Linked DNA regions of Coturnix japonica. The protein of the gene in region 1 purifies or fractionates together with the protein of each later gene. This does not show direct contact. Links are inferred from orthologs where the notes say so. Each region holds a gene or a part of one and is shown in the gene's direction. Other genes may lie near its edges.

Region 1 (6,595 bases):
AACTATTAAGAACTATTGGTCCACAACAGACAAAGTTTATCCTCACAGAGGACTGACATTTTTTCTCAGTGGAAATTCTACTGGAGCCAGTTGTTAATTGAATGAGACCAGAGACAACTTGTCATTTTGGTTCCCAAGATGTATTTTGTTTCAAAGCAGTGTGATGCGTTCATTCCAGAGCGGCAGGCTGCAGGATGCTCCTGCAAACAAGGTCTGTGCCCAAAAGCAGATATTCTCAGTCCTTAAGAGGGGGCAACAGCCCAGGAACGGAGTGAAATTAAAACAGAAGGTGACATCTCATGAGCCTACCCAAGTTTAATCTCTTTCTAACATTTCATTTGACAGGAATGCAGGACAAGCCAAACACACTGTGACAGGAACACTCCTGACTTTGAGAGAAGACACGCTGGGAGGCAGCACTAAGACTTAGCCCGGGTCCTGCCTTACCTTCCCGGAGCAGATCATCAGCCGTGCTGACTCCGTGCTCTATCAGCTTCTGGCATTCGTCCAGTGGTTTGATGCTCTCTTGTTCTATAGCATCCACTTCCTGCAGCAGTGACAACAGTCGCTCATCCAACAGCTTCTTTAGGGTCCCTTTTAAATCATTAAAATGTTGCTCGAGTACATCTCTGGTCAAGGTTGCACTTTCTCTGATCTAAATTCAGGTAAAAAGAAGGATTCAGGACAAGGGCAAAGACCGCTCACATCTCGTATGTCTGAGCTACTGTGTCTGCAAAGGAAAATGTCTGTGAAGTCAGCTTTAAAAAGGGGCCACAAGCAGCGAGTAACAGGGTGTGTTATGAACAGTGCAGGCACAGAGGGGAGGAGGCTGGGAAACGAGTCTGGACAAGGGAAGGGCAACGAGCTGAGCACATCAAGATCAACTGCTGAGGTTTGAGCTACGTGCAGATCGGGTTAATGCTACTGCAGCCAAAGAATCTGGTCAGAAAAGTCTGAAAGTCCCTCCTGGTAACTGCATGAAGGAACACACAGCTCTCCATGGAGCCCGGCCCTTCACTGGGTGTTTGAAGTCCCACCAAAGCTCTTTTCAAACAGAACCGTGTGGGTGCTGCGGGGTGATGGTGGGTGCAGCAGGTCGGGCTGGGTTTGGGAAGAAGCAGAGCTGAAGTTCCTACGCACATTCATCGCTGTGCTGGCAAACGGGATTTTAGGGAGACAAACGCATTTGTGCAGCCCTGAACTAAGGGTACAAAACCACAACAGAACATCTTCCTCTGAGCGCTTCTACCCCGTGCAGATGAGGAAACGCTGCACTGTGCACTGCACGGCACAACAACCGCACAACAACCGCACGGCACAACAACTGCACAACAACTGCACGGCACAACAACAACTGCACGGCACAACAACCGCAGCCCTGCAGCCGGCGCAGGAAGCTCTGGTTCTGCGAGGCGCATTTCCTGTTCAAGCCGTAACACCGCACAGCTCGGCTGCCCGACTGTCAGCCCCAGAGAAAAAGGAAGCGAGGGGAAAGCGGTCCGTGCTGACAGAACTGCTGCTCAGCGCAGAGCACCCAGCGCCTATAGGGGAACCAGCACGGGGTACACAGAGCTGCATAGAGCTACACGGAGCTGCACACAACTACACGGAGCTGCTCAGAGCCGCACAGGTCCGGTATCCCCGCACACATCCCGTGTCGTCCCGTCTCCCCCCGCCCCGCAGCCCAATAACGTCCCACCCTGTGGCCGCGCCCCCGCCCGCTCATCCCGTCCCGTCCCGTCGCTCCGCTCCGTTCCCCCACCTGTGTCCTGGCCTGTTGCAGCCCCCGCAGCCGTTGCTGCAGTTCCCGCCGGTAGCTGCGCGCCGCCTCGATGCTCTCCCGAGCGTCCTGCAGCAGCAGCAGCCGCAGCTCGGCCTGTTCCGCCATGTGCAGCCGCGGGCGGGGCCCGGACAGGCCGCACTGCGCGGGGCGGCACGTGACGTCACACCCCGCGGCGCCAAAACCCGCCCGACGGCGGCGGCGGGAGGAGCGTCAACCCGTCACGTGACCGGAGATTCGAGGGCGGGGCGCCAACCGCCGGGATCACGTGATGGCAAAACGCGCGTGGCGGTTGGCGGAGCGAGCGGGTCACGTGGGTGTTGTAGCGCCGCCCCGTTCCGCGCGCAGCTCCGAATCGTTCCGCGCGCTTTTCCCCTGTCAGTCACTCGCTCCGTGCGGCGGGACCGGACATGGCGCCACCGCGCGACTCACGGCGCGTCTGAGCGACCCGCGCTGCCGGGACGGGCCGGGCTGGGCTGGGCATGGTGCGTGCGGGGCGTGCGGCGGGCAGCGCCTCGGCTGAGTCCGGGAGGGACGGCGACCTGCAGGTGTGCGGCGGGACGGGGTGTGCCGGGACGGGGTGTGCCGGGACGGGGTGTGCCGGGACGGGATGTGCCGGGACGGGATGTGCCGGGACGGGCGGCTCCGCGGGGCTCGGTGCGATCGTGGGGGCGGTGGCCGAACGGGATGAGCCGCGTTCCCGGGAGCGGGCGGCGCTGCGGCTCCGTGATGCGTCGCGCTCGTTGCTCTCGTTGCTCTTTGCGCGCCCTGCCCGGCGGGGCCGTTTCCCTCCGGTGTTGCCGGGTGCACCGCCAGGATCCCCCGGTGTGCGGTGAAACAGCCGCGCTGCTCCCGGCCATGGGCTGCGCTGACGGTCCGCTCGGTGCTGGAGGTCCCGGGCGTTGGGTGGTGGTTTGAATGTCGATGTCCCGCTGTTCTGAACCGTCACCCCTGTCCAATCCAGCTGGGGCGGCTCCTGCAGGATGGCGCTGAGCGATGTGAGCAGGGACTCACGTCAATAAGTTCATTGTCTTTTACAAGAGCACAAATGTCACTGTGTAAACTTGTATCGCAAAGTGCCTGATATCAGCACACCGCAGCTCAAGGTTTTAATGGCCAAGGCTGACACAGAGCTCTCTTTTTATTGTAGCCGTGCAAGAAACGGCGAGAGGAAGATGGCTCTGTGAAAACCATCACGAGGTATTTCTCACCATTAGCGAAAGCAGGAGGTAAAGTGTCATCGCCTCCAAAAGCCAACAACATCTTGGATTACTTTAAGAAGACGCCTGCAGCTGAGAAACATGCAACAGCAGCTGGGGAGATTACAGCAGAATTCAGTGACGACCTGGATTGTTATATAGCATCTCCAAAGCCAAAGAGGAAAAGGAAGAGAACTCGTGTAAATAATAAGCAAAGAGAAATGAAAGAGTTGGAGAGTGAACGCACAATAGAAATTGATTGTGATGACAGCATAGAAGCAACAAGGCTAAAAGAAGACAGTGATGATTTCATAGCTACGTGTGCTTTAGGTGACTGGAAAGGTGGAGGGGAATTAGCTGAAGGTCATAAGCAAGGTGAGGATTTCTCACATACAGACATCTGTGTTAAAAGTGATGAGAAAGTTGGTTCTGAAATAAATGCAACAAAAAATAGGATAAGAAAAACAAGGAAAAGGAAGCACAAAGTAAATGTGGATTCGTCTGGGAGTTTTTCATTTGAGAACCAGCTGAATGAAAAGTGTAGGAAAGAAACTAAAGGTAAGAAAAAGAAGGAATCTCCTAAAGCAGCAGAATGTGATGATGTTATTAGTGACACAAGTTGTGAAGTACTCACAGATGATAAAACATCTCAGGCAAATGACAGTATCATAACAGTGTCCTTTGAGGACTTCTTGAAAAGCCAAGGAGAAAATCACGTAGAGGATGTTGAAGGTACAAAGCCAATGCTGGACAGTTCTGTTACTGTCAATGAAACGGACAAAAGTGGAAGTAATAGTGACCCTGAAAAGTGTGAGGAATTTCAGCAGCTACCGCTTAGAACAGTAACTGTTCTTGCACAAGTTCATTCCGTTCCCCCCAAATCAGGTTCTTTACATAATGAGCAAAAAGGTTCTAAGAAAATAGCTTCCATTTTTCTGAAGCAGAAAGTATATGTAGAAGAAGAAAGCAGCCCGTCTCTTGTGGAGAGTGAGCAGACTGAGCAGCTCACCCTGAAAAGAAAATCTAACGTAGTCATTGAGGAAGAGGAGCTGGAGTTAGCGATACTAGAGACTGCAGGATCGGATTCTTTGAAGATGAAATCTACTCTGGAAGAAAGGCATCAGTTCATGAAAGCGTTCAGGCAACCAACATCAGATGTAAGAAAAAGTGGAGTTAAAAAGGCACCTGGGAAAGCAAAGCAAGTCATTGGGAGGACTTCAAAAGACAAGAAAGGACCCGAGGGTGACAGTGTTTTAAATACGGAATTAGAAGGTGGGCTACCAGAAGATGGTGCAGACAAATGCATGAGTTCTAGTCCTGGAAACACCAGAACGAAAAACAAGAGGCCGCGGAAGTTTCAGAAGAAGGGAAGCAAAAGAAACAAGGCTTTGGGAGCAAAGGAAAAATGTATCTCAAGTACAAGCAACTATAACGAAGATAAAGAATCAGTAGATTGTGATCAGGTGAAGGAAAGTAAATTGGATGTAATAATTTCATCTAGTCCAAAAGTGAAAGAGTTGAGGAGGAGTCTGAGGCAAAAGAAAACCAACACATCCAAAACTATTACACCCAAAAAGAACAAAATTAGAAGGAACTTTTCTGGAGATGAAAGTGTGTGGCCTGTACAGACTTCCACACCAAAAACAAGCAGGCAGTCCTTAAAGAAAAGTAACGTGTATAAGGCTGAGGTGATTACAGTGCCCTCCGATGAGAACAGCCCAATAAGGTAAACATGTTGGAATATATTCTGGCTTTATGCATTTTGTTTTGTTTTCCTGCAAGTATTTTAAGAGTAAGTTGTAGTTACGATTCCTTTCATTAAACAGTAATGATTTTATAACACTTTTCCCTAATTAGAATGAGGTTTACACGGATCAATGCAACTATAAAATCAAATAAAAGTGAAGCAAAGAATAATGAAGAGCTTAACTCCAAAAATAAAAAGGTAATTCATGTAACAGCTTGTGTTTCAGTATGTTGTCATTTACTAAATGCATATAATTGTTAACATTCAAATTGTTTAATACAGTAAAGCATGGTAGTACACAAATGTCCACTTGAAAGAGAGTATTACTGGAATTTACTATAGCATTTGAGCTAGTTTCTTGTACAGTTACTGTACCGTTGACTTTAAACTGTTACAAATAGCAGCTTGTGTGAATATAACAACAGAAATCAGATAGGATAGCATGCTCATCTTTGGCAAGTTCTCGAGGTGGGATGTAGCATTTGGGCATAGCAGAACAGCTGATGCTTAACAACATCACTGCTCAGATCTCATTTGTCCTGTGGGTGACCAGGACAGTCCCCTGTAGGGCTCCCACTACCCCTAGTGTTCTCCTTCTGATTGTTTCACTTTCTTCCCAATGCAAGCAAATGTTAATTAGAAATCATACACTAGAGATAATATAATGTGGAACACTTAGTGAAGATATTGCTATTAATTGCTAGATATCTTGGTTATTTTGTACTTTGTCAATAGATAAGCTCTGCTTCTAAAAACGTGTCCAAAGCAAAACAGCTGGTTGAAAAAGCAAAAGCTATAAAGCACAACAGATCAAAGGTTAATGAGGACTCAGCAGCTCCTGTGAGGCGCTCATCTCGACAGCAAGCTCTTGCTGAAAAGAAAACGTTACAAGAAAATGAAGTAAGCCTGTGTATTCTATGGGGAAATCATTCTCTAGTTCTCGTGACTTTGTTAAGCATTAAAAATGTTTTGTAGAAACACTTTTAAGTATGAAATAAGGTAGATAGCGATTACAGAGTAATCTTCAAATGGTATTTGGTAACTTCTGGGCTTTGCAGAAGTTTCCCCAATACCTGTCACTAAATTGTGTTGCTAATGAAGGAGGAAAATCATTTCCTTTCTAAGTTTGTTTCCTTTTCTACCAGGATTCAGTAATAATTCTACATTCAAGCCAGAGCAATGACAGCACTACAGTGCAGGGTGTGAAGCAAAAGAATCTTCGAAGCTTAAATGATGTTTTGGGGAAGTCTAAAAATCTGAAGGTTTCTAAGAACTCAAAAGGTAATTGAGTTTTACTAAATGAGTTATTTAACGAGAAAGTTTATCGACCAATTTATTTCATCAGGCTCTAAAGTATGTTTATGAAATAACTGGAAATATAACTGCAGTGGATCTTATTAAAATACTTTTCTTAGAAATGGAGCTTCCCTTGGGTTACTAAATAAAATATATAGACAGTGAACATGAAAGCCCAGTTACAATGCACATATGATGAAAGAGAGTTGCTAATCGGTGCCAACCTATCATGGTTATTTTTGCTGTTTCTCTGAAGGAAAATTGGGATACGTTCCTTCATTCCTGGGCAGAAATGTGCAAAAGTCTACAGATGAACCGGTTGTGATTTTTGATGATAGCAGGTCAGTGTTCAAAATTGCTGTTGGTTCCAGTTCTTCCAGACATCATAAATTCATGCATAGAACGTGATTAGATTCTGTCATAAGCCTTATATACCTGGTAGTGTTAATGATCTTTTGTTTCTGTTGTCGTTAAAGCCAAGATGCATCTGAGAATTCTCAAGATGATGATCAGTTCAGAGCAAAACGTGAATTTTTGATGAGTGGTTTGCCAGAATTACTGAAAAGACAGATT
Region 2 (6,542 bases), on another chromosome or scaffold:
TGGACAGTGATCCTGATTTTTAGGATCAGATTAATTGCTGATTAATTTCTGTCTTGTTTTGTAGTTCACTTTAAGGAACCACTTCTCTACATTCAGTGTAAAAAAAAAACCCAACACTGGGTGAGTGTACACCTGCAAATGCCAGCAAAAGAAGACTAAGAAGGAAAGGGAACAGGCTTCCCATTTAGAGGAGTCCAAGGTGCCAAAAACATGCCCTGCAACCCAAATGCTCATTCTTTACCTCCCCACTCACCCCACCACGAGTTCCTACTCCTACCTCCTGTTTGCTGACGTAGTAGTGCAGTGTATTGGATCATCTCACTGAGCTGATGGATCTGCTTCAACTGGAGGTGAAATGAGACAAAGGATTTGGAAGACAGCAGTGCAGAGGTGGATCTGGTTAGGATGAGAACAGAGAAGGTTGTTTGTGAACATTATTAGTAATGAGACATCTGCTACTGGGGCATTACAGGTTTTAAATACTAATGCGCTGCAAACACACTGGGTGTTTTATGCCTTTATAAATCAAAATAGTCTTAAGGAGTTTTATTTATTAACTAAATGTGTTATAAATATTCTTAAAAAAGGAAAAATGTCAAGGCCACCTCAAATCAACCTCCTCCCCATACCTCATTGCTGATCAGTTCTCTCTCTGCAAGACTGATAAAAAAAAGTCAGATTCTTAAATATGTTTCTGTCACAGCCCAAGAGGGAAAAAAACCACAAATATTTGTAATGCTTTTTAATAACTGGTATTATTATGGATACAAAACCAATTATGTTAACGTGCTTTAGAAAACAAATTCATGATCAGGATTTAAAGATAAACTAATTCTGCTGTGCATTAGGCTGTAGAAAGTTACCATGGAACACAGTTGAGGGACACTAATAGAAGAACTGTCTGCCTTGGAAAAAAGCATATGGGGGAACACTGTAAACATCAGTTTGGCCTATTGGACCTTAAGATGGTAAATGAATGTGGAACTGAGCAAGCGTAGTATTCAGTCTTTGTGTTTATTCACTGGAGGGAGAGAAAAACCATGAGAGAGAAAAAGAACCTGCAGCTTGAGTTCACTTCTTTCTTTCTGGAATATGCTGTATTTGCTAAGGTAATGAAATGAAATGTTCTGTTATGAAGAACATCCATGTTTGAAATGTTCTGTTATGAAGAACATCCATGTTCTTCATGTTAATGTATTTCATCTAGCAGCCAGGAGGTTCCTTCGATGAGCTGAATGTGAGGCTCAGACAGAGGTGATGAGAAGTTCAAACACTAAGAATAGTTGAAGTGGCCCTTTAAGGAGAGGACAGAAGTGAGACCACAAAATAGAAGGAAGCTCTGAAATATAACAAAGCCTTTTACAGCTTCAGGATGAATACTAATCCATTCCATCTGCTTATGCATCCTTACCATTTCCAAGTCATCACTACTCGGAAGTATCAAATATAATCATAGTGAGAAAAAAAGCAGCACTGCATTTTCATCAGGAACAGGGCAACTTCAGAAATGATGCATATGGGCATCTCTTGCTGCCAAGGCATTTTCATGTTTCAATAATAGAACGCTAGATGAATGGAAAGCTTATTTAAAATTGCCTGAGCACAGATTACAGGCTCGTCTTGCCAATAGAATGATGTATTTCCAGCCTCAATTCTTTCCTGTTCCTCCTTTCCCAATGTCTGTTGCCATAGAGACCCTTTCCAATTCATTCTTCCCCTTTGCACAGGTTCTGTTCAGGATGATCCCCTCCGCAGCTGCCCAGGTCACTATGGCCATGCGTTTGCTTGGGGGCAGCCAAAGGGAAAGAATAGAGCAGAACAGCTACAAGTACACAACGTGCTGCTGCAGGCAGCAGATCTGCTTTACTTTTTATGCAAGAAATTGCCACAAAGTGTGAGGATATGACGTAGATACCTGGTGCATGATAACATGGGCATCGTGACTGCTGGATCTGCTGGGATGCTTTGTAGTCCTGTAATGGGGCCTGTTCCATCAGTCACACCCCTCATTTCAAATCCTTTTCTTCTTCTTTTGCTTTAATGGGAATTGAATATGAAGGAAAGGTTCCCTTGTAACAGGTAACTTTGGCACATATAAGCCCTGCTTCGTTCACCTGGGGGCAGCGAGGCACGGCACAGGGAGGGCACTGGGGCAGACTCCGGCTTCGTGGTTCCTCTTTTTTTCAATCTTTTTTTTGCAGGAGAGGCTGCATTGCTACGGGCTACAACAACCAGCAGCCGCCCATCCGACCCCGAGGGGAGGTGCCAACATGGCGCCCCTCCCCATCACCTCACGATCCTCACGCATGCTCAGCACTGCCGAAGGGCCCGCCCACTCCGCCGGGGGGAGCGCTGTGATTGGCTCTCAGCAGGCGGAAGTGGCTTGCGTCGCCTTGAGTGACGGGCGGCTTGGCGGGAAGTTGGTGAGGGGTTGTTGTGCGCTGTGTGGTGAGCCGGGATTAACGGCCGAGCTGAGGGGAAGGACGGAGCCACAGCCACAGTCACAGCCATGCAGGCCTTCCTGAAAGGCCCGGCCTCCATCAGCAACAAACCTACTGCCAACAAGGAGAGGAGCGCGGCGGGGAGCAGCGGGGAAGGCAAGAAGCTCAAACCCGTCCCCTGGGTGGAGAAATAGTAAGGGCCTGTTGGACTGGGGGGGGGTCACAGCTGGGGGTGTTGGCAGATGTGCTCCAGGAATGAGCGCAGGGCCGTGGTTATGGTTAGTAATGGTTGGTTATGGGTAGTTCTGGTCAGTTCTGGTTAGTAATGGTCAGCTCTGGTCAGCTCTGGCCAGCAATGGCCAGCAATGGTCAGCTATGGCCAGCAATGGCCAGCTATGGCCAGCAATGGCCAGCTATGGCCAGCAATGGCCAGCAATGGTTAGCACTGACGGCTTCCTGAGCTGTCAGTCACCGCGGGGAGGCGTCTGGCTCAGTTCCTGTTGGGATTGTGGCCTCAGCTGCAGGAGTTAGTGTAGCTCTATAGAATGGATGTATTTGGGAAGGGAAATGCTGTCTTAATTCACATTCTTGCTGAAACTGTTTGGTAATCAAACTGCGTTTGATGTCTTTCTCTTTAGTCGCCCCAAAAACGTGGATGAAGTCGCCTTCCAGGATGAAGTTGTTGCTGTGTTGAAAAAGTCCCTGGAAGGTGCTGATGTGAGTGCTGCACTAACAGCTGCCTGAGCACAGCAACGTGCAGGCAGCGGTGGGGAGAGCTTCCCTTTCTGGCTTGGCTGTGGCTGTTTCTCCAGGCTAACCAAGTGATTTCCAATGGCACCTGATAAGCCCTGCAGTACCTGATGTGTCCAGCTCTCTGAGCACTGTGAACTCTCAGCTCTGTGACACATTGGAATTTATTCTGGGAAATCTGAACTGGTGAACTCGCTGTTAATAATTTCAGTGCTGGAGGAGCTTTTGTTTTCGAGATGCTGCTGTTCAGCTGATGCTTCTGGTGCTTATGACAAAGAGTAGAGGGGAAACTTTTCATAGAAAAACCTAAATTGCCAGTTATTGTTGCTCATCAGTTGTAGTGATTTACTGGTGCTTTTAAGAAACTGCTAAACATGTTTCTTGTTTTATTTCTTCATTCCTCTTCCTTTCCAAATGTGAAAAACCCCTTCCTTACATTCATGCTGACACTCCTTTAGCTCCATATTTCACCTAGAGGGGGTGTTCTGTTTCTATGGACGGCTAATGCTGGCTGGTACGGATGTTCCAAGAGCAGCAGTTGTGATGTGGGTATCTGTTCACTGAGAGCTATAAAAACCAGGTCAGGCTTTACAGAGAGTTGCGGAGGAAGCCTTTCACTTGTTGTGCACTCTGATGTGCATTGTGTGTCCATCGTTGTTTGGAACTTTTACACTGAAACAATTTATTCTTGTTTTGATTAGTTTGAGGCTATATAGATCTGAAAATATTCATTTAATCGGAACGTGCAAAAGCTAAAGTATTTTGTATTTTAGTATGGGGAGTTAAAATAGAGCTAGTATGACAGAACTGGGAAAGACTCGTGTAATTTATTTAGTTTGTGTCTTCAGATTCAGTTTATTTTAAGAACACAGTTATGACCTTACTGTGTACTACTGTATCCTCAAAAATCCAGGTCTTAACAGCAATGCTGTTGTATTCTACTATTTTGTCTGGTTCTAGAAATTAGTGAGGAACTGTTCATGGCTGAAGAGAACTGAGTTCTGCCATCTATCTGGGCATGTCAGTCTTGCAGTGTTGTTTAGGTGACGGGTTGTCAAGTTCTATTTTGAGCATCAGCTATTTAAAACCCTTCACTTCTGGATCAGCCACGTCTGTCAGATCATGAGCCTCGTGCTGACTTTTTGCCTCCTGAGTTGGAAAAAAAGCAAATCAGAACTCGTCTGTATGGTGGTTACAGGCTTCGTATGTTACTGTAGGTACCAAAGCTCAGCAAACCATTTGAGAACAAAACTGAGAGTTGTTCAAGTATTTGATGCTTTCAAAATTGGAAGATTTTTGTTACTTTTTGGGAGGACTCATTCTGTCAAAAAGGCAAAAGTGTAATTTAAACTCTGAGTGGCTGACTCTGTTTCAGGAGTTCTTATTGAGTCTGGTGATCTGATGGGATCAAAGAAACAGCTGTGACAATGTGCTAAGCTTGTGTCATGTGCTGTATTTAAACCTTACTGCTGCAAATGGAAAGTTAGTCCTCTGTTGAATTGCTTTTAAGTATTTGTGGGCCTTGGTTTTGAAGCTGCTAAATAGGGCAGGATTTCTAAAACCACAGTACATCTCAGTCTAAAATAGCAAGCATTTCTCTTGTTATAAATTGGAAAGATCAGAGTCTGGGTGGTTTTTGAGCTGGAGAAATTGATTTCTGCCTGCCAGGGCTGTTGTTGCTTTTTTTTAGAGAAACTGACTTATGTTATGCTATTCTTTAATGTTCCAGTTATTAGGTAGCATTTTACTGACTGAGAACCCAGAGAATTAAGAGTAAGACTATAATTCCGGTTTACATCCTTACCTGCAGTGAAACTTGTAGAGAGGCACCTGGGGCTTCTCCTGCTTGTGGTGTTTCCCATGAGCAGGCAGTGCCTGCAGGTATCCTGCCTTCCCCCTGCGAGGTTGGAGCAAGGGTTAACCAGCTCAGCTTTCAGTCTGTTAAAATTAGTGCTGCAGAGTTACATGAAGGATGAGGCTGTGCTTGTTGACAAAGCAATGTAAATACTGTGATAACCTCAGCGAGAAACGAGCATAAAAGGGGTTGAAGCTAAAGTAGTAGTTGAAGCATGGATTTAATGAATTCAGAAACACCGATTCCTGTTAAAGCTTTTAAGCTGTGAATGTTTCTTTTGAGAGTTAGAGTGTGAATCAGCACAGAGCCATGAAATTATGAGTCTTGAATCCACAAAATGTCTGCTGGTGCAGCGTGCTGACTAACATGGCTGGTGGTGAATTTTCTATTGTCATTTCAGAAGCATTTCCTCTCCACGGAGATTTCTAAAACTGCACAGGGAGACAATAACGCTGTGGGGTTTAATTAAACTTGGAAAGCCTCGTGTTTGTATTGAGTACTGTTTACTTTTCATTAACCAGGGAACCAGGCAACAACTGATTGGCAGAAAGAGCAGGGAAACTCAAAATGTGTTTTTAATAATAAAATAATGACGTTCTGCCATCCGTACTTTTCCAGCACATACTCAGTGGTGTTTGTTCTGTCTTACCTTTTTAAGATGGAATATTTGTTGCCGAAGAGATCTGCCCCCGTTTCATTTTCTGACTGTGGATCACACACCCCTGCATTTCACTCTGCTCTTTAGATGCCTTTGGCTTTGCTGCTCTGATTCTGTCTGTGTTGCTCGCTATATTCAGCATAAAGCTCTTTAACTTCAGTTGAATCTTTAGAAATAGAACGTGAGCCAAAAATAAGTCAGACAGAGAGGTTTATATTATTGCTGTTCTAAACGCTGCCTTACTGTTGCAGCTTCCCAATCTGCTGTTCTATGGCCCGCCTGGAACTGGAAAGACCTCCACTATTTTAGCAGCTGCCAGAGAGCTCTTTGGGTAAGCTGGAACTGTGTTGCATCAGTATAAGCAACAATCGTGTCTTCTAATTGTGTGCCTCTGGTTGACCACCCCCACTGACCAGATCTGGAGATTTAGCTGTTTCTTCCACGCTGCTCACAGCATATAAGGACACATAATAACAGTGCTCTGTGTTTATTGAGGCAGCTTCTGATTGCTTTTTCCTGTAATTTTATGCTTTGCTGTTTTGGCAGTCTGGGAATCAACTTTTAAAAAATACCTAATTGACATTCATACATAACATTAATGATCTCAAATTAATTGTGTTTTACCAAAGTGTGTTATTCATTAATGCTAACAGAAATAATATCTGGAGTTCAAAAGGGGTGGAAGGTTTGTTAGCATACTTTGTCACGTACTGTTGCAAGCATTAACAGCTAACATGTTGCAATAAAAACCTTGCAGGCCTGAACTATTCCGACAAAGAGTCCTGGAGTTAAATGCCTCTGATGAGCGCGGGATTCAAGTGATCCGTGAGAAGGTGAA
Region 3 (6,834 bases), on another chromosome or scaffold:
TTCCCTGGAAGACTGAAGTCCGAACTTCAACTCTTTGTCAAGAATGCAGTAAATTATGTAATAGCAAACAGCTTTACAACTTAAAAACAAACAAGCTATATATGCTGGAGAAGCAGAATACAATATTTAGTATTTCTTAGACTAATGCTAGAAAGCAGATTTAAAGCAATGTTTAAACTGGAAATAATGATACATTTCCTTCCTCCAAAGCCTCCAGACCTTCAGTTCTTTATTTGCATTTTTACACTTTAAACTTTATTCCAGATGAATTCTGCAACTTCTTGGATCTTAATCCAGAAGCTAGAGGGGCAGTTACAGACACAGCAGTGCCAAAGAAAGACAGCACCAAGACTGAGACCATTGCATGTGTGAATATATAAGTGACTTTACAGCAGGTTTGGAACATGAAGGAGACTAAAATGGGTTGAACAAATGTCTTGTTGATGCAGCCCCACAATAAAATAGGCCCTAAGATCACCAAATTTCACGTCCCATCAAATACAGACTGAATACAGTAATTTCAAACAGTTTCCTCTGAATCATGTCCATAAATTCTAAATAAGCTTCAAGCTACATAAGATCTATCATGTCCCCTGGGGATTTGTTCAGTGATTAGCTGGTCTTAAAACGATATTTTCTTCACAGCTTGATTTTATGTAGCTCTTCTCCCAACTGTATCATCTATTGCTGCACTTCCTGCAGGATTAAAGAGCCTTTTGCTTATAAAAAACATTCTCTACTTCTATAATTACAATAAAAAATGGGGCTGGAAGTGATATCCTAAAGCCACCTTGTTCGTGATTCAGCCTCAAACAGCATCAGCGATATTGATGTAATTCCTGGAGATATTTGCCTCGTCTCTTCTTACAATAGATGGTGATTCCAGCCCCTCCATATACCACATATTCTAGTGCTTCACTACTCCAACTGCCAAGAAATGTTTTTTCTTGTGCCTCATATGAATCTCCTGAACTGCAATTACAGCCCATTACTTCTCATTCACCACGGACATGAAGATGAGTTTATTCCATATTCTTCTCAATTATTTGAAAACCGCTATAATGTTTCCTTTCGTATTCTCTGCTGTAGCCAATAAACATTTGAACCTTTCCCTGTAATTCCTACAGGCTCCGAATCATAGTTGTATCTTCCATCTAAATTCTTTTAAGGCCTTTATTGTAAATGCTGTGGCAGCCAAACCTCACAAAGAGGGATTTGAACAGCAGAGGGAAGAAGCTGGAAAACGTAATAGTATTTTTGACCCTAATATTACTGAGGAAATTTCATCTTCATCTTTTTATTTATTGCAGTCGTTACTTATCCAATAAGCACCCATTTGCTTTTCTCCTTATCTCGATGCCCTGGCCTATCTCCTGAATCCTGCTCAGTTCTCTCCCATCTCCTTTTTGGCTCAACATCTATTTGCTCATACCAGTGTTTTCAGAAGGTCACAATTCAGCCAAGATTATCAGAGTTTTAGGGAAATTGAAAAATAATCCCTAGATTTATCTACAAATATTGTTCCTTCTCTTCCAAAGCCACAAGCAAACAGTTAACATTATAAATTTGATGATCTTATCACTTTCTCAAAATGTCATTGTGAAAAGCTAAAAGATTCAGTGCATCACATAGAAAACCTTATCTACCATATTTCTGTGTGTGTGTGTGCAGTTTGTCCACATGACTCCGTATCAGCCCAGCCTTGCTTCATGTCTGTGATGAATGAGAATGAATGACAAGCTGAAAGTGCAGCTCAGACACATAGAAACCAGCAACTTATAGCCTGTGCCAACATGATGCTTCTTGTGTTCCAGCAAAGACAACCTCTGATGGACTACACAATCTCTAGAGGTCTCTCCCAACTTCAAAGGTTCTACGAGCACCGTGCATGTTTTTGTTCTCCTTTCAGTAATGAGCTGTTGGTCAGAGGATTTAAGAAACACTGCATAGCAGGGACTATCCACATATAATCAGTTGACATGCAGAGAGGAAGAAACAGCGGAGGACCACATAGATGGTGAAGGGCCTGGAGCATCTCCCCTATGAAGAAAGGCTGAGTGAACTTGGTCTGTTTAGCCCTGAGAAAAGAAGACTGAGAGGGGACCAGATTCAGGTCTATAAATATCTGAGGTGTGGAGGGGGGAGTGGTGAAAAAAAAAGCTTTAATTTTATCTTAAAAAAAAAATGTAATGAGTTAAGCAATGCAACTTTGTGATACCTGTCCTAGATGCTTTAAATCATATGCTCTGCACTGTTGTAATAACAGAAAATAGTGAAAATATGGCTGCTAAGGAAGAGTTTTGGCCAAGGCAGATGTCTTTTAAGAACAATACCATCTGCTTGCAATTGCAGGGAAGACACTGCAGTCAGCAATGCTGGAAAACGCAATTCTTATCAAAATAAGCTTATATTAGCATTAATGAGTAGCCAGTGAGCATGGCTGCAATCAGCAGGAATGTGAATATGTGACTATATATTTTTTACTTATTTCTTTACCCATTTTTTGTCACTGTAAAAATGTTTCTCGCTAGGATTATTGATCTACTGTGCATTTCACCAATCACCTCGTCCAGTCACCATTACTGTTTTGAAGTAAATGAAATAATCAATACCAAAGCAAACCCCCCAAGGTAATATCCCTATGCACAGCCTTCTTTTCTCAAGGCTAAACAGACCCAGTTCCCTAAGTCTCTCCTCATAGGGGAGATGCTCCAGGCCCTTCACAATCTTAGTAGCCCTCCGCTGGACTCTTTCCAAGAGATCCCTGTCTTTTTTTGTACTGGGGAGCCCAGAACTGGACACAATATTCCAGATGAAGCCTCACCAGTACACTCATATAAAATGGCTTTCATCCAGAGGAAACCTGGACAGGCTTGAAAAATGGGCCCATGTAAACCTAATGAGGTTCAACGTGGCCAAGTGCAAGGTACTGTACTTGAATCGTGGCAACTCCAATACATAAAATGGCGAGCCGCCATTACTGGGGCTATTACTGAGAGGGAGCTCTGGCCCAGCCCCCTTGTCAGTTGCCTAGCAACGCCTCAATGAACGTCAGCCATCTTGTTTCTGCTTTATAAGGGCTTTGGGGGCTGAGAGTGGGGGTGGGACTTCCGGAACGTCACTCCTCGGAAGTGACATCACAGTGTCAACATGCAAGATGGCGGCGCATCACCGGCAGAACACGGCGGGGCGGCGGAAAGTGCAGGTGGGTGCACGGCGGGGTTCGGCTGTGAGGAGCAGCAGGGCTTTGGGGTGGGCTACATACGTGTAGGCCGCCCTCAGGAGGACGGTCGGGGATGGCTGGGCTATGGGAGGGGGGCGGTGGTTGCTGGGGAGGGGTCTCTGCGTTGCTCCGTGTGGGAGGCTCTGGAAACTACGAGGACTGGCTAAAGGAGAGAAGGGAAACGGCTTCATCGGCTTAAGGGAAACGATACTGAGCTACATTGAGCCACCCGCCCGGCTCCGGGCTGCTGTTCTGAATGCAAGGCCGCAGAACAGTCAGGCTGTGATAGTGAATGGTAAAAGTCAGGAAAATAGATGTATTGTGATGTTTTGGGATAGTATCAGCACCTTTAATAGCTTTACTCCTTTCCCATAGCAAAATGTATGTTTTATGTGTACCTCTGGTGGTAAGTGCAAGTTTCAGCTGTTTTTAACCATTATATTTATATATATACCGATTTAGCTTGCAATAGTCTCAGCATCCTTCCAAACAGAGATGGGTGCTGTGTCTTAAGGCACCTTTTCTATTCTGTCCCATAGAGGAAATGTTTATAGCTTATAGCAGTTCTTATAGTCAAAGAAGCACTTGGTCAGTGCTGCATAAAGAATTCCTGTGCCCTTTTGCATCGTCTGCACCGTATGCAAGTTCTTGAAGATTGGCCTCCCAAGGAAGGAGATTTTGTATTTATTTATTTGGTGATCTGTTGTCACTGTGTTACTTGATGCTTTTTGCTTCTCCTTATCCTGCTGTGATGATCCAGGCTTCAGCCAGTGTACACTAAGTGATCAACAGAGAATAACTTTGATTATATTATAAGCACATACAAAGTATTAAGTACAAAGTAGGTATTTTATTGTAGTCCTATTACTTCACTTACTTGGTTAAATTCAGGGTTTTGGCCAAATAATGGACTTCTCAGTGGCTCTTGCATCCATCAGCTGTTGGTAGAAAGTAAAAACCATTAACAGTTTATTTTGCTTCCTGATGGCTGAGCATTTAATATGTTTCTGCATCAATTAATAGAGATTTCTCCAAAATCTATAGTGCAAGGGGAAGACTCTGTAGAAGAATGCCCATCAGTTGTGGAGGATCCTGATTCTTTACAAGACATGGGAGCTGGTTAATATTTATGCAAGTTTGAGCTGTTGTTGTCTCTGTTGCACCTGTTTTACTGGTCAGTAGAACCATTCAAAACTGTGTAGGATGCTTCTGCATATAATTGTATATTGCATAAGGGTTTAATCAGGATAGGAGTTTCAGACCTTAAAGTGAATTCTGAGCATAAAGGTAAGAAGTATAATTAAACGTGAGGCACTCATGTGAATTGTGTCAGTGTTCCAATAGTAAGGTCCCCTTCACTAGGGGTGGAATGGAGATGTGTGGGTTTGGGAGTAGTAAACATCACTGTGTGATGGGAATCAGTTGGCTTTGTGCTACGGCTTTCAGATGTGGTACTGTGAATTAATTCAAGATGAGGCCATTTTTCAGCTGGTGTGCATTCTTCAACATGTTTTTGTTGGTATTACCTATATCTCTGGTGCTCTTAGTCACTGAAATGGCTAGTCCTGATCCGTTTAAGATACTAAGTCTCATAAATTCTTTATAATGAGGGTTTATCTCTGTAATATTCCCTATGAGGACAGGCTGAGGGAGTTGGGTTTGTTCAGCCTAGAGAAGAGAAGGTTGCGGGGTGACCTCATTGCAGCCTTTCAATACCTGAAGGGAACTTACACCCAGGAGGGGAGTAAACTCTTCGAAAGGGCTGATAATAGCAGGACTAGGGGAAATGGTTTTAAGTTAAAAGAGGGAAGATTTAGGTTGGATGTTAGGGGGAAGTTCTTCACTGGGAGAGTGGTTAGGCCCTGGAACAGGCTGCCCAGGGAGGTTGTGGATGCCCCGTCCTTGGAGGTGTTCAAGGCCAGGTTGGACGGGGCCCTGGGCAACCTGATCTAGTAAGTGTGTATGTTTGGTGGCCCTGCCAGGCAGGGGGGTTGGAACTACATGATACTTGAGGTCCCTTCCTACCTGGGTCATTCTGTGATTCTGTAATATTTAGACAGTGTTTACTGCAGTGAAGCGTTGCTATTTGTTACAGGAGTTTATAAATGCTACAACAACATTAATGTAAAAAGCATTGGTCATTATTAAAGTATCTTATAGCCCATCTTGCCCTTTCTGGACCATCAAATGGCAATATCACAACGTGGGGTCTGTCATCATCTTTGTGTTTGATGCTGGCTTTGTGAATAGATGCAGTGAGCCAAGGTGCAATGTGCTCTTGGTTGCCTTGTTTGAAATGTGATGAAATGTAACCTGTTGTATCTATTATTCAATGTGTTTGTGTACACATACTTGAATATATACTCTGTATTCATTGTATTGATACTATATTTCCTAATAGTTACTGTATTTCTGTACTGAGTATTGCTCCAATCTAAAACCAAATAACAATAATACTATGGAGTCCTCTCTGACTTCAGGATGTCATTAGGTTTGGGAGTGGGATTTAGAGAGTCCATCAAGAATGAACTGATAGCAGCATTTACCATTTGCTCTTCAGTCTATCAGAGACTTATTAACCCTGAAACAAGACACTTACTCTCATTTTCTCAGTTCTCTCAACATATAAACAATGCTTGTAAAGAGGTGAACAGCTTGCATTTAGTATTTTAACTGAATATTTCCATTGCTTTTATTCAGAAAATTGGAAAGCAGTGTGACATTGGGCATCTCTTTTGCTTTATGTGCTAGACCTTGACTTTGTTCATAACATTCTTTGAGTTAGGCAGGCTGCATGGGCATATTAACAGCATAGACATGGAATGGTCAAGGCCAGATGAAGTGCTGCAGGGACATCTTCCTCTGTGCATCAACAAAAAGAAGGTGTGAATGGGTTGGCTTGGAAGCATCTGTAGTGCTTTATAGCTGCACTTACTGCACAAGTAATAGCAGAGAGTGTTGTAAGCCTTGCATTTTGACCCCTTAAATCTCCATTTGATGTTTCTGAATAGAGCAATGAAGTATGCAATACACACTGTACTGTCAGATGCAGAAGGACTGAAAGTGAAAGAAAGAAATCTCTAATTGGAGGAAGGCTGAATATTTCTGCTTATTATGTTAGAAAGGAGTTTGTTGTTCTTTAAAGAAGAAAAAACTACAACAGAATTCTGCCTTTCTCCAAGTGTCGTAATAGTATTATTGCTGGGATAGAATTTGGACCTGCTGTCTTTCAGTGCTTTGTAATCCTTACTGGTGGTGTTTTCTCCCTATAAGGCTGGGAAACACTGTCACACAGCTTTAGAAACCATGAAACCTGCTTAAAAAAATGAGACACGAATGCATTGTGTTGTCTGGGATCATCCAGAATCTCTGTGCAGAGCAGGGAATTGAACTAAGGATTGTCCCAGTCTAAGCCTGATTTGTAAGGATTAAATAATCCCTGGGGCTCCATATGTAGCACTGCTAACATCTTTGTGACTCTTCCCAATTTTCAGGGGGAGGTAAATGACTGAGGGCAGTGATGGTAACTTTCAAACTAGCAGACTCATTTAATGCTTTTAAAGCTCTTAGTATTTTCTACCTGAGAACCTCACTGAAATGAAATTAAATGG

Evidence for each region.
Region 2: the proteins of ATAD5 (region 1) and RFC4 purify together in Homo sapiens (affinity purification with mass spectrometry; 5 studies listed by BioGRID and IntAct, counting the BioPlex papers as one, with this or other methods). This does not show direct contact. The link is inferred for Coturnix japonica from reciprocal best matches to the Homo sapiens genes ATAD5 and RFC4.
Region 3: the proteins of ATAD5 (region 1) and WDR48 purify together in Homo sapiens (affinity purification with western blotting; 3 studies listed by BioGRID). This does not show direct contact. The link is inferred for Coturnix japonica from reciprocal best matches to the Homo sapiens genes ATAD5 and WDR48.

What each region holds. Positions count from the first base shown.
Region 1 is NC_029533.1:7,478,466-7,485,060, reverse strand, and holds the start of ATAD5 (ATPase family AAA domain-containing protein 5), read left to right. Parts: upstream 1-2,059; 5' UTR 2,060-2,262; coding exon 2,263-2,328; intron 2,329-2,930; coding exon 2,931-4,705; intron 4,706-4,836; coding exon 4,837-4,924; intron 4,925-5,461; coding exon 5,462-5,626; intron 5,627-5,871; coding exon 5,872-6,007; intron 6,008-6,278; coding exon 6,279-6,363; intron 6,364-6,498; coding exon 6,499-6,595. Other genes in the region: CRLF3 (cytokine receptor-like factor 3), read right to left, coding at 448-655, 1,763-1,888. UniProt on the Homo sapiens protein: Has an important role in DNA replication and in maintaining genome integrity during replication stress.
Region 2 is NC_029524.1:14,221,135-14,227,676, reverse strand, and holds the start of RFC4 (replication factor C subunit 4), read left to right. Parts: upstream 1-2,383; 5' UTR 2,384-2,509; coding exon 2,510-2,634; intron 2,635-3,079; coding exon 3,080-3,158; intron 3,159-5,955; coding exon 5,956-6,035; intron 6,036-6,461; coding exon 6,462-6,542. UniProt on the Homo sapiens protein: Subunit of the replication factor C (RFC) complex which acts during elongation of primed DNA templates by DNA polymerases delta and epsilon, and is necessary for ATP-dependent loading of proliferating cell nuclear antigen (PCNA) onto primed DNA.
Region 3 is NC_029517.1:4,673,431-4,680,264, reverse strand, and holds the start of WDR48 (WD repeat-containing protein 48), read left to right. Parts: upstream 1-3,091; 5' UTR 3,092-3,157; coding exon 3,158-3,205; intron 3,206-6,834. UniProt on the Homo sapiens protein: Regulator of deubiquitinating complexes, which acts as a strong activator of USP1, USP12 and USP46. Enhances the USP1-mediated deubiquitination of FANCD2; USP1 being almost inactive by itself.